3 linked regions of the Macaca mulatta genome follow. The protein of the gene in region 1 purifies or fractionates together with the protein of each later gene. This does not show direct contact. Links are inferred from orthologs where the notes say so. Each region holds a gene or a part of one and is shown in the gene's direction. Other genes may lie near its edges.

Region 1 (3,649 bases):
ATTAAAATTATTTTAATGCAAATGTTTAAATTGTTAAATTAAATTCTCAAGGCTGGGCGTGGTGACTCATGCCTATAATCCCAGCACTTTGGAGGCTGAGGCAGGCGGATTTGTCTGAGTTCAAGAGTTCAAGACCAGCGTAAACAACAGCAAAATCTTGTCTCTACCAAAAATACAAAAAATTAGCCATGTGTGGTGGGGTGCACCTGTGGTCCCAGCTACTGGGTGCTGAGGTAGGAGAATTGCCTGATCCTGGGAGGCAGAGGTTGCAGTGAGCCAAGATTGCACCACTGTACTCCAGCCTGGGCAACACAGTGAGACCCTATCTCAAAAAAAAAAAAAAAGTCTTGTTGCAAATGCATTTCCCCCTTTTTAAGTCTAAAAAATTATCATAATTTTGAGATGTTTTAAAGGCAATATTACATAAATTTTAAGTATATTTAAGGGGTGTTTTTCTCTGTAAAGTTTTTATATCTGGAGACAGAGAGAAGAAAGAAAGGTGACCCACTCCTCCAGCCATGCTGTAATGTCTAAAATGTGTCTTTCTCTCTTCACCTCTTTGCCTTGCTAAATACTTCAAGTCACCCAGGGCTCAATTTAAATGTCACTTCATCACTCTCTGCTTCTCTTCCTTTTTCCTTCTACCCTCCAGCCAACCTGGCCACCTAACCTCCATTTCCATAACACATGATGCTTTCCCTCTAATTCTCATTCAGTCATCCAATTTGATTTAAAGTACCTTTGCCTTCACTAAACTGTGAACTCCTTGAGGACAGGACTTGTTTCAGGCTTGTTTCTGTCTATTCCCAGTGCCTAGTGAGACCTGACATATGGTAGAAGTTTAGTAGATACTTACTGAATTGATTTGTGGAGGCATTAATGCCTGAAACTTGGTAATACTTCAATTAATATTTGTTAAATGAGCAAGTGAAATAATTCAGAGATTTAGTCTAGTTAAAACAAAGAGAATTGGAAGGCTGGGCACGGTGGCGCAAGCCTGTAATCCCAGCACTTTGGGAGGCTGAGACGGGCGGATCACAAGGTCAGGAGATCGAGACCATCCTGGCTAACACGGTGAAACCCCGTCTCTACTAAAAAATAGAAAAAACTAGCCGGGCGAGGTGGTGGGCGCCTGTAGTCCCAGCAACTCGGGAGGCTGAGGCAGGAGAATGGCGTGAACCCGGGAGGCAGAGCTTGCAGTGAGCCGAGATTGCGCCACTGCACTCCAGCCTGGGCGACAGAGCGAGACTCTGTCTCAAAAAAAAAAAAAAAAAAGAGAATTGGAAGAGATGGTGATAAGGTGAGACATGCTGGCATTCAATGACTGGACAAGCTCAGAATCTTCTCTTAGGGAAATTTCAAAATGACACCATTAGATGGTACTTTGTTTGTTTGTTTGTTATTGTCAAAGAGTCTCAACTATGTTCCTTTTTATAAGAAAATTTTCTGATTAAACCCTGGGAATAATTTTAAAATCTTTACTTTGGAATAAGTTAATAAGGGTCTGAAACAAAGGCAGGAATTTTGAAACAACTTCTGAGGCAAAGAGTCATTAATAAGCCTCTATAATCATACCAAAGTCTAGAATTTCTTGTGTGGATAAATATACTGATATATAAAGAAGAACATAGAGAAGTGATTGTTTTTGGCATTTGAGCTCTTTAAGAGTATTACATAACAAAGTTGTAAAAAGTCGACGTAATATGTAAGTAGGGGTTTGCTGTTATCATTGTAAAATTATAAACTGCTTAAAAATGGAAAGTAGAAATTTGAAACAAAAAGTTTCATAAAAAAGAGGAGGTTCTAAAATGAAACACATATTGTATGTAACTATTTTTATGGTTAAATCTTATATATATCAAAATATGTAACAATTTCTGACAGCATTTAAAACATATTCCCAGGATTATGTTGTGCTTTTTCTTAAATCATTAATTCAAATATATGTTGAGGCCTATTCTGCTTCCATTTTGCTCTTTCTGGAAATAATTTACAAAAAAGCTGAAGGAAGCTTTCAACTCTATTTTCATGAACCTGCTTTTTACAGTCTACCGTTGTAATTTTGCTGGTTTTACCCATGCTATAAGCAGAGGTGATTGGGCTAATCAGTATACTGAAATTCTGTTGTGGATTGTGTTTTCAACTTTTTGAAAATTCTTGATGGTTCTAGTTACCAGAGGTGTGTAAGGCAGAAATATTAGCTAGACTTAAGTTCCTCAGATGGTCCACTTTAGAATTTTAAACTCTTGTCTTTTCAGACTCTGAAGAGTTTGACACATTTGGACTTGCACAGTAATAAATTTACATCATTTCCTTCTTACTTGTTGAAAATGAGTTGTGTTGCTAACCTTGATGTCTCTCGAAATGACATTGGACCCTCAGTGGTTTTAGATCCTGCAGTGAAATGTCCAACTCTGAAACAGTTTAACCTGTCATATAACCAGCTGTCTTCTGTTCCTGAGAACCTTGCTGATGTGATAGAGAAACTGGAGCAGCTCATTTTAGAAGGGTAAGAAAGAGCTCATTAAAAATAAAAGGACTGCCTAAATATGCTGATGTTAACAAAATACGCTGACATTTGTATAGTCATGAGTTTTGACAACATGGTGAAACTCCATCTCTACTAAAAATACAAAAATTATCCGGGGTTGTTGGTGCGCGCCTGTAATCCCACCTACTCAGAGGCTGAGGCATGAGAATCGCTTGAACCCAAGAGGCGGAGGTCGCAGTGAGCCAAGATCGCGCCATTGCACTCCAGCCTGGGTGACAGAGGCGAGACTCTGTCTCAAAAAAAAAATATATATATATAAAATATATATTTATTATAATGTATAAGTATTATTATATATAATAAAAACTGAGACAATGAATATTACAACTTTTATCAATGACTTACATTTTCACAACTAATTTTTAAATTAATGAGTCCTCTTCGATGCTATTCTTCAAAAGCAAATTGTTTTTGGTATTTTTTCTTTAAAGCATATGAATGAATTTATGCAGTTTAATCATTATCTTGTCTCTTGTGACTAGAAATAAAATATCAGGGATATGCTCCCCCTTGAGACTGAAGGAACTGAAGATTTTAAACCTTAGTAAAAACCACATTTCATCCCTATCAGAGAACTTTCTTGAGGCTTGTCCTAAAGTGGAGAGTTTCAGTGCCAGAATGAATTTTCTTGGTAAGTGTTCTGTGTGGGTCTCCTCCTTACCAGGCCCTCTAAGTTGTACAAGATGAGTCACATATGGACCCTTTAGGTGGGGATTGAAAGGTGGCATTTCAGTTTAAATATTATGCTGGATTTAAAAAATAAAGTTAGCAGGTTGGCAATAAAAGAAAATGCTATCAAACTATGAAAATAAATGAAAGAAATGTAAATGCATATTGCTAAGTGAAAGAGGCCAATCTGAAAAGGCTACATACTATTCGTTCCCAACTATAAGACATTCTGGAAGAGACACAATTATGAGGACATTAAAAAGATCAATGGTTGTCAGGGGTTAGGGGAGGGAGAGATGAATAGGTAAAGCACAGAGGATTTTTAGGGCAGTGAAACTGTTTTGTATACTACAGTGGGGGATACGTGCCATTGTTCACTTGTCAAAACCCATAGAATGTACAGTACAAAGAATGAACCCTGATGTAAAC
Region 2 (3,749 bases), on another chromosome or scaffold:
GGCCTGCTGGCATTTTGCCTTTGGGAATTCTGAAGTCTGGGCACATAAGGTTCAGCCGCAGTTGCCGTTTTCAACAGTCATCCTTATTTTTATAAACATTGTTATGATTATTCAGACACGGAATTTGTGATTACACTCTCTGCTCCTGTTCTGAACCTGAGGGAGTCCACTTAAGCGAACAAGTAGGTTTTTGAGGACATGTGTGGCAAATGCTTACCCAGTGAAGGGATTAAGGGGCTCAGTAAGCACTTGTCCATTGGCGCAATGGCTGCCAATCTAATTCTACTGATTCCTCTAAATGTTTCTGGAGTTCAGAAATCTATTCGATCCAAGGGCACTTTACCTGGGGTCCTGGAAGCCAAATGTCAACGTAGTTCTTAACCTTCCTAAGCCTCTTAACCTTCTGGGTACAACCTCTATATTTACCTTCTGGCTAAAATCATTTCCCCACCCCCAGCCCAGTCCTTTGGACTCTCCCAAGCCAATTCCTGGCAAGGTCTTTGTTGAACTGTATTTGCAAACCAGGGTCTGGGGCACGGTGGCAGTTCCTTCGTCTGTTGTTCCCTTAATTTCGTCTGGTTTCACTGGCTCCAGGACAGTGCCCGGCCTAGGGTGGGAAGAGTGAGGCACTCACCTTGGTGAAACACAACTCAGTAATTAAGACAAATGATTTTTAATGCACTATTTAAAAAAAAATCAAAAGCAATGCAAAAATTCATGATGAACAAATGATCAGCATTTGAAATACAGACAGGATCCCAACCTGCACTTGCATGACTTTGTCTCGCTTGCCTCACCCTGAATTCAGCCTTGACACTTCAATTAAACTTTATTTACAAAACAAGGGGGCCGGCCAGCAGGATGTTTGCCCATACGACTTTTTTAAAGTATCGTTTATCTCGATGACTGAAGGGTTCTTTTGGCATCCCTGTAACAAATGCGTCTCACCCTAGTTCTGCTCCAAGGGTTTTTGTCCAGGCACACCGTGACCTCACCGTTCCTACCCACTCCGAGGCCTCTGTCAGGGTTCAGCGTTCAAGTCCCGGGTGTCCTCTGGACCCGCCCCTTCCTCCTGCCGGGTCAGGTGCCGAGGGCGAGCCCGGGCGGCGCGGAGAGCGGTCCCGGCCAGCCCTCCACGACTCCTCCCCCTGCGCGCTGGGCCACTCAGCTGCTCTGCCGCCCAGCGCGCCGGGGCCCAGACCCCGCCCCGGCCCCGCCTCCGACGCCTGCCGCTCCGGCGCCGGCTCCCCCTATATAAATCGGCCATTTGCTTCGCTCCGCCCCGCAGCGCCGGAGTCAAAGCCGGTTCCCGGCCCAGTCCCGTCCCGCAGCAGCCTGCCGCCTCTTTCCTTTCAACATGACAGATGCCGCTGTGTCCTTCGCCAAGGACTTCCTGGCAGGTGGAGTGGCCGCAGCCATCTCCAAGACGGCGGTAGCGCCTATCGAGCGGGTCAAGCTGCTGCTGCAGGTACGTCCTGGGATCCAGGAGCCCAACCAGGAAGTGGGGGGGAGGGTCGCACAGAAGGCGGGCGCCCGAGGGGTGGCGGGGAGCGAACTCCAAAGACATGGCCAGGGAAGCGGCTAGGAGAGGCCAGAGCCGGGCGCAGAGGCAGAGCAGAAGGCAAACTGGTGGGAGGCGCCTTTAGTGACCTGAAGTTGTGAGTCTAGAAAGGGGCCAGGGGCGGAGAGCAGGACCAGGCTCTCGGCATCCCCGAGGCGGCCGACTCGGATGGAGCAGTCCCTGAGTGACGGCCTCCCCGGGCCTGGGCGTCAAGGGCGAAGGCCGAAAGCCGGCGTTAGAAAGAGGAACGCCAGTTCTTAACGAAGACCTCAAGGTCGCGGCAAGGAGATAACTGCCCGGGGAAGGCCATGCGCCCGGGTCCGGCGGCCTCCCAGCCCGCGGACGCGCTCAAACCTCGCCGGGCCGGAAGCCGGCGCCGGGAAGCGCGTGTTCCTTTTACGTCCGCCTCCGCGCAGCCGCGGCCGCCGTGTCCCCTCCGCCTGCCTCCCTGCGCCGCGCGCTCTCCAGTGCTGGCTCTAGAGGGCGCCCCTGGGCGAGCGTGTAGGGGTGCCGGCGGCGGCGCTCGGGTCACCTCTGGAAGCGGAGTGGGGGCGGAGCGAGACGGAAGCAGCTCAGGAGACCGGAGGCGTAGGCTGCGGTCCCCAAGGTGACCGCGCCCTATGTGGGACTCGCCCTAATGCCTCTGAACCTGGGTTTGAGGTAATGACCTTTATCTCAGGTTTAAAGGTCACGAGTCCGCTGGAGGATGCCCCCTCCCCACTCAGAGGGGTGGAGGCTTAATACCTCTGGTGCCGATCACCTCTTCCCCTGTGACAGCCTCATATGGTTGGGAGGCTCCAGCCAGTATGATATACGAAGACTAGATTTGGGAGAGGGGAGCCAGCCTTAAAGGGTATTGATCCATATGGCATATGCCCTTCTCTTTCCCTTCCGCATGGTTATAACTGTCCCTGTTGGCTTCTTCCTGTCTGTTAGGTGCAGCATGCCAGCAAGCAGATCACTGCAGATAAGCAATACAAAGGCATTATAGACTGCGTGGTCCGTATTCCCAAGGAGCAGGGAGTTCTGTCCTTCTGGCGCGGTAACCTGGCCAATGTCATCAGATACTTCCCCACCCAGGCTCTTAACTTCGCCTTCAAAGATAAATACAAGCAGATCTTCCTAGGTGGTGTGGACAAGAGGACCCAGTTTTGGCGCTACTTTGCAGGGAATCTGGCATCAGGTGGTGCCGCAGGGGCCACATCCCTGTGTTTTGTGTACCCTCTTGATTTTGCCCGTACCCGTCTAGCAGCTGATGTGGGTAAAGCTGGAGCTGAAAGGGAATTCCGAGGCCTCGGTGACTGCCTGGTTAAGATCTACAAATCTGATGGGATTAAGGGCCTGTACCAAGGCTTTAACGTGTCTGTGCAGGGTATTATCATCTACCGAGCCGCCTACTTCGGTATCTATGACACTGCAAAGGGTAAGTTTGCTGTGGGCTTTAAAGTTGTGTTCTTAGGAGACAATTTAAAAGAGCGTTGTACCAACCTAACATTCCAAGAGCTAGAGAGTTTTTTTAATTGCTGAAGGAAGCCAAGATCATCCAGTGCGACCCTCATGCACAGATGACATGTTTAGGGGATGTGGGGAAAGGAAGTCAGTAAAACTCTACTTTTTGGTAAAAGCATCTCTTTCCTATTCCCAGGAATGCTTCCGGATCCCAAAAACACTCACATCGTCATCAGCTGGATGATCGCACAGACTGTCACTGCTGTTGCTGGGTTGACTTCCTATCCATTTGATACTGTTCGCCGCCGCATGATGATGCAGTCAGGGCGCAAAGGAAGTAAGTTCCCCTTGAGCAGAAGATAAAATTGTAGGCGTGGGGCAAGCTGCGGCCACAAACTAGTGATGCCCACCTTTAGAAATGGCTGGCTGTCCAAGTCAAGGGATGGGGTTGATAGCATCTGTGTCTATTCCACAGCTGCCTTTGATCCGGCCCTTCAGATGCCTATGAATGAGGGTGCTTAACTGGTATTAGAGATTAAGACCAGTGGGTAGTCTGTGTATTCCTGTGGTCACAGCATTAATATTTCAGTGTTGCCCATGCTAATGTGTGAATGTTGGGTTTAAAGCTGATGTTCTTAGAGGTAGGGCTCTGCTTTATTTAGCCTAGTGAATCTTAGGATTTTTCATCGGCCTTCAGTCACCAACTCTGTCTTTATTCTTTGCAGCTGACATCATGTAC
Region 3 (3,649 bases), on another chromosome or scaffold:
TACTGTGAAAAAATTTTGAGTATTTGTAAAACTGTAGTGGGAAGTAAGAGGGAAGCTCAAGTTTGATTGAAAAGTAGCATAAAACTAAGGGCATTTATTGTATTCAGATCTGAAGCAAGTTCTGTGTTGCTGAGGTATAAAAGCATTTGTGTTAATGTGATTTTAAAAACCATGAGTTCTTCTCCCTCCATTGCAGGATTGCTTATATTGAATTTAAGACAGAAGCTGATGCAGAGAAAACCTTTGAGGAAAAGCAGGGAACAGAGATTGATGGGCGATCTATTTCCCTGTACTATACCGGAGAGAAAGGTCAAAATCAAGACTATAGAGGTGGAAAGAATAGCACTTGGAGTGGTAAGAAATTAGGCTTGTTACTGGGTTCCAGAATTGATGGAGGGAACTCCTTTGTGTCTTTGTACTTCATAAGTTTATACTTTTTAATCAAAGTTACTTAAATGTAGGTGAAGATCAAGGACATTATACCCTAAGTTATACTCTTATTTGGAATAGTAATTTCCAATCTTGAATGAGAGCTGTAAAATCATTTTGCATTGGAATACAGTAGGCAAATCAAGCTTCCTTTTTGTAGGTATGTTTTATACTTTAAATGACTTCGACTATGTGTGTGTGTGTGTTTTTTTTTTTTTTTTGAAACAGTCTCGCTCTGTGGCCCGGGCTGGAGTGCAGTGGCCGGATCTCAGCTTACTGCAAGCTCTGCCTCCTGGGCTTACGCCATTCTCCTGCCTCAGCCTCCCGAGTAGCTGGGACTACAGGCGCCCGCCACCTCACCCGGCTAGTTTTTTGTATTTTTTAGTAGAGACGGGGTTTCACCGTGTTAGCCAGGATGGTCTCGATCTCCTGACCTCATGATCCGCCCATCTCGGCCTCCCAAAGTGCTGGGATTACAGGCTTGAGCCACCGTGCCCGGCCGACTATGTGTGTTTTGAACTCAGATTATTGTTCTAGGAAAACAGGCCAGTAGTCAGCCTATACATAAAGAACCACCACCAGAACATTGCAACATGTACTAAGTACTTAATATGTTGAGTAACAAAAGTGGATTTCACTTACATCATCAGTATTTGTGTGTTAACTCTTTCAAGCACTGAAATGCTTAGGAATAAAATATTACTGCTCTGACCGAAGCTGGGAACCACTGTTTCAGAGTCTTAGGAATGTGGCATCTCTATTTGCAGGTGAATCAAAAACTCTGGTTTTAAGCAACCTCTCCTACAGTGCAACAGAAGAAACTCTTCAGGAAGTATTTGAGAAAGCAACTTTTATCAAAGTACCCCAGAACCAAAATGGCAAATCTAAAGGGTAAGATAATTAATACCTTTATATCAGTTACAGGCTATATATGTCTTACAGGTCTAAAGGAACGTAAGGTCATGTGATCCTGTCAGAAAAGCCAAATAATTTTAGCTACGTAAATGAGTGTAAAAGAGCGTCATTTAGGTACCAACTTGAGAGAAGGCTTGGCAGCATCTTGTGACAGTGAAGGAGCACGTGCTTGGTAACTTACTCTAAGCATTAACTGTTCATCCTCAGGTATGCATTTATAGAGTTTGCTTCATTCGAAGATGCTAAAGAAGCTTTAAATTCCTGTAATAAAAGGGAAATTGAGGGCAGAGCAATCAGGCTGGAGTTGCAAGGACCCAGGGGATCACCTAATGCCAGAAGCCGTAAGTTCACCTGGATAGGATGCTGTGGTTGGGGGTAGCACTCTCAGTGCTTTTGGTGTTTATTTTTTGCACAAATTCTGTGTTTCCTGTTGCTACTGAGTGAACAATAACTGGATATGATGACTGATTACCTGAGAAATAATTGATGAAATCTCAAGAAGATTCCTCTAGATAGTCAAGTTCTGATCCAGCTGTGTCAACTCAGAGCAGCAAGTTTGCCCATGATTTCCTGCCCCATCCAGTGGGCAGCACCTGCTTGGGTTCTTCTCCCACTTTCCATAGAAGATGTGGGGCAGAATATCAACTATGCAGTGGCAGTTTAAAAAATGTAAACTCAGAATAGCCTTACTTTAATTAAGGACTAGTTGGCTTAGTTGCTTTTCACTGCTTTTCCACTAAGACAAGCATTCTTGGCCAGTAGTCATACCAGGCATTGTGCAAATTCAGTGTTACTACGAACTGTGACTTCACATAAAGTCACAATTTTTTTTCTTCCCCAGAGCCATCCAAAACTCTGTTTGTCAAAGGCCTGTCTGAGGATACCACTGAAGAGACATTAAAGGAGTCATTTGACGGCTCTGTTCGGGCAAGGATAGTCACTGACCGGGAAACTGGGTCCTCCAAAGGGTAAGGGAAGAAAGCATGAGTGCTGCTTTCACTTGAAGGGGTTTTTGTTCGGTGGAGACCTTGAGTCTAAGGTGTCTTCTCATTGAGCTCCTTTCTGTCTATCAGTGGCAGTTTATGGATTCGCACGAGAAGAAGAGAGAATTCACAGCACTAGCATTATTTTACCTTCTGTCTTTACAGAGGTATATTTAGCTGTTTTGTGAGACATTCTGGGGTTCAAGCTGTCACACCAGTTAGTTTTCCATAGAGAGCTACTCTGTCACTGGTATATTTTCCAAACTAAACAAGGCTACTTTCTGTGGGATGGCTCCCCAGTGTGTGCCGTTAACTTGGGACATGTGCAGTAGGTGCTTTTTATAATGGGCAATTTCATTTGGTGTTCTAGGTTTGGTTTTGTAGACTTCAACAGTGAGGAGGATGCCAAAGCTGCCAAGGAGGCCATGGAAGATGGTGAAATTGATGGAAATAAAGTTACCTTGGACTGGGCCAAACCTAAGGGTGAAGGTGGCTTTGGGGGTCGTGGTGGAGGCAGAGGCGGCTTTGGAGGACGAGGTGGTGGCAGAGGAGGCCGAGGAGGATTTGGTGGCAGAGGCCGGGGAGGCTTTGGAGGTAAGGCACACAGGGATAATGACTTCAATGTCTACTGGACACCACGTAGCATATGCTCTTTAGACCGTGCCTTGTCACGGTTCCTAATCACTGGGAGGAGGAACTTTGTACCTATTCTTTTAACAGTGTCTTGCCTTCCCCCTGTAGGGCGAGGCGGCTTCCGAGGAGGCAGAGGAGGAGGAGGTGACCACAAGCCACAAGGAAAGAAGACGAAGTTTGAATAGCTTCTGTCCCTCGGCTTTCCCTTTTCCATTTGAAAGAAAGGACTCTGGGGTTTTTACTGTTACCTGATCAATGACAGAGCCTTCTGAGGACATTCCAAGACAATATACAGTCCTGTGGTCTCCTTGGAAATCCGTCTAGTTAACATTTCAAGGGCAATACCGTGTTGGTTTTGACTGGATATTCATATAAACTTTTTAAAGAGTTGAGTGATAGAGCTAACCCTTATCTGTAAGTTTTGAATTTATATTGTTTCATCCCATGTACAAAACCATTTTTTCCTACAAATAGTTTGGGTTTTGTTGTTGTTTCTTTTGTTATTATTTTTTTTTTTTTGCGTTCGTGGGGTTGTAAAAGAAAAGAAAGCAGAATGTTTTATGGTTTTTGCTTCAGCGGCTTTAGGACAAATTAAAAGTCAACTCTGGTGCCAGACGTGTTACTTCCTAAAGAGTGTTTCCACTGGAATGTCACTGGAGAGCATGGCAAAGCCAGCTCTGCCACTCACT

What was found.
Region 2: the proteins of LRRK2 (region 1) and SLC25A5 purify together in Homo sapiens (co-immunoprecipitation; 3 studies listed by IntAct, with this or other methods). This does not show direct contact. The link is inferred for Macaca mulatta from reciprocal best matches to the Homo sapiens genes LRRK2 and SLC25A5.
Region 3: the proteins of LRRK2 (region 1) and NCL purify together in Homo sapiens (co-immunoprecipitation; 3 studies listed by BioGRID and IntAct, with this or other methods). This does not show direct contact. The link is inferred for Macaca mulatta from reciprocal best matches to the Homo sapiens genes LRRK2 and NCL.

What each region holds. Positions count from the first base shown.
Region 1 is NC_133416.1:47,171,085-47,174,733, forward strand, and holds part of LRRK2 (leucine-rich repeat serine/threonine-protein kinase 2), read left to right. Parts: intron 1-2,258; coding exon 2,259-2,509; intron 2,510-3,033; coding exon 3,034-3,182; intron 3,183-3,649. UniProt on the Homo sapiens protein: Serine/threonine-protein kinase which phosphorylates a broad range of proteins involved in multiple processes such as neuronal plasticity, innate immunity, autophagy, and vesicle trafficking.
Region 2 is NC_133426.1:125,937,696-125,941,444, forward strand, and holds the start of SLC25A5 (ADP/ATP translocase 2), read left to right. Parts: upstream 1-1,291; 5' UTR 1,292-1,357; coding exon 1,358-1,468; intron 1,469-2,497; coding exon 2,498-2,984; intron 2,985-3,206; coding exon 3,207-3,347; intron 3,348-3,735; coding exon 3,736-3,749.
Region 3 is NC_133417.1:136,712,964-136,716,612, reverse strand, and holds the end of NCL (nucleolin), read left to right. Parts: intron 1-196; coding exon 197-354; intron 355-1,196; coding exon 1,197-1,320; intron 1,321-1,551; coding exon 1,552-1,685; intron 1,686-1,796; exon of another isoform or gene 1,797-1,876; intron 1,877-2,185; coding exon 2,186-2,312; intron 2,313-2,385; exon of another isoform or gene 2,386-2,522; intron 2,523-2,697; coding exon 2,698-2,921; intron 2,922-3,068; coding exon 3,069-3,145; 3' UTR 3,146-3,573; downstream 3,574-3,649. UniProt on the Homo sapiens protein: Nucleolin is the major nucleolar protein of growing eukaryotic cells. It is found associated with intranucleolar chromatin and pre-ribosomal particles. It induces chromatin decondensation by binding to histone H1.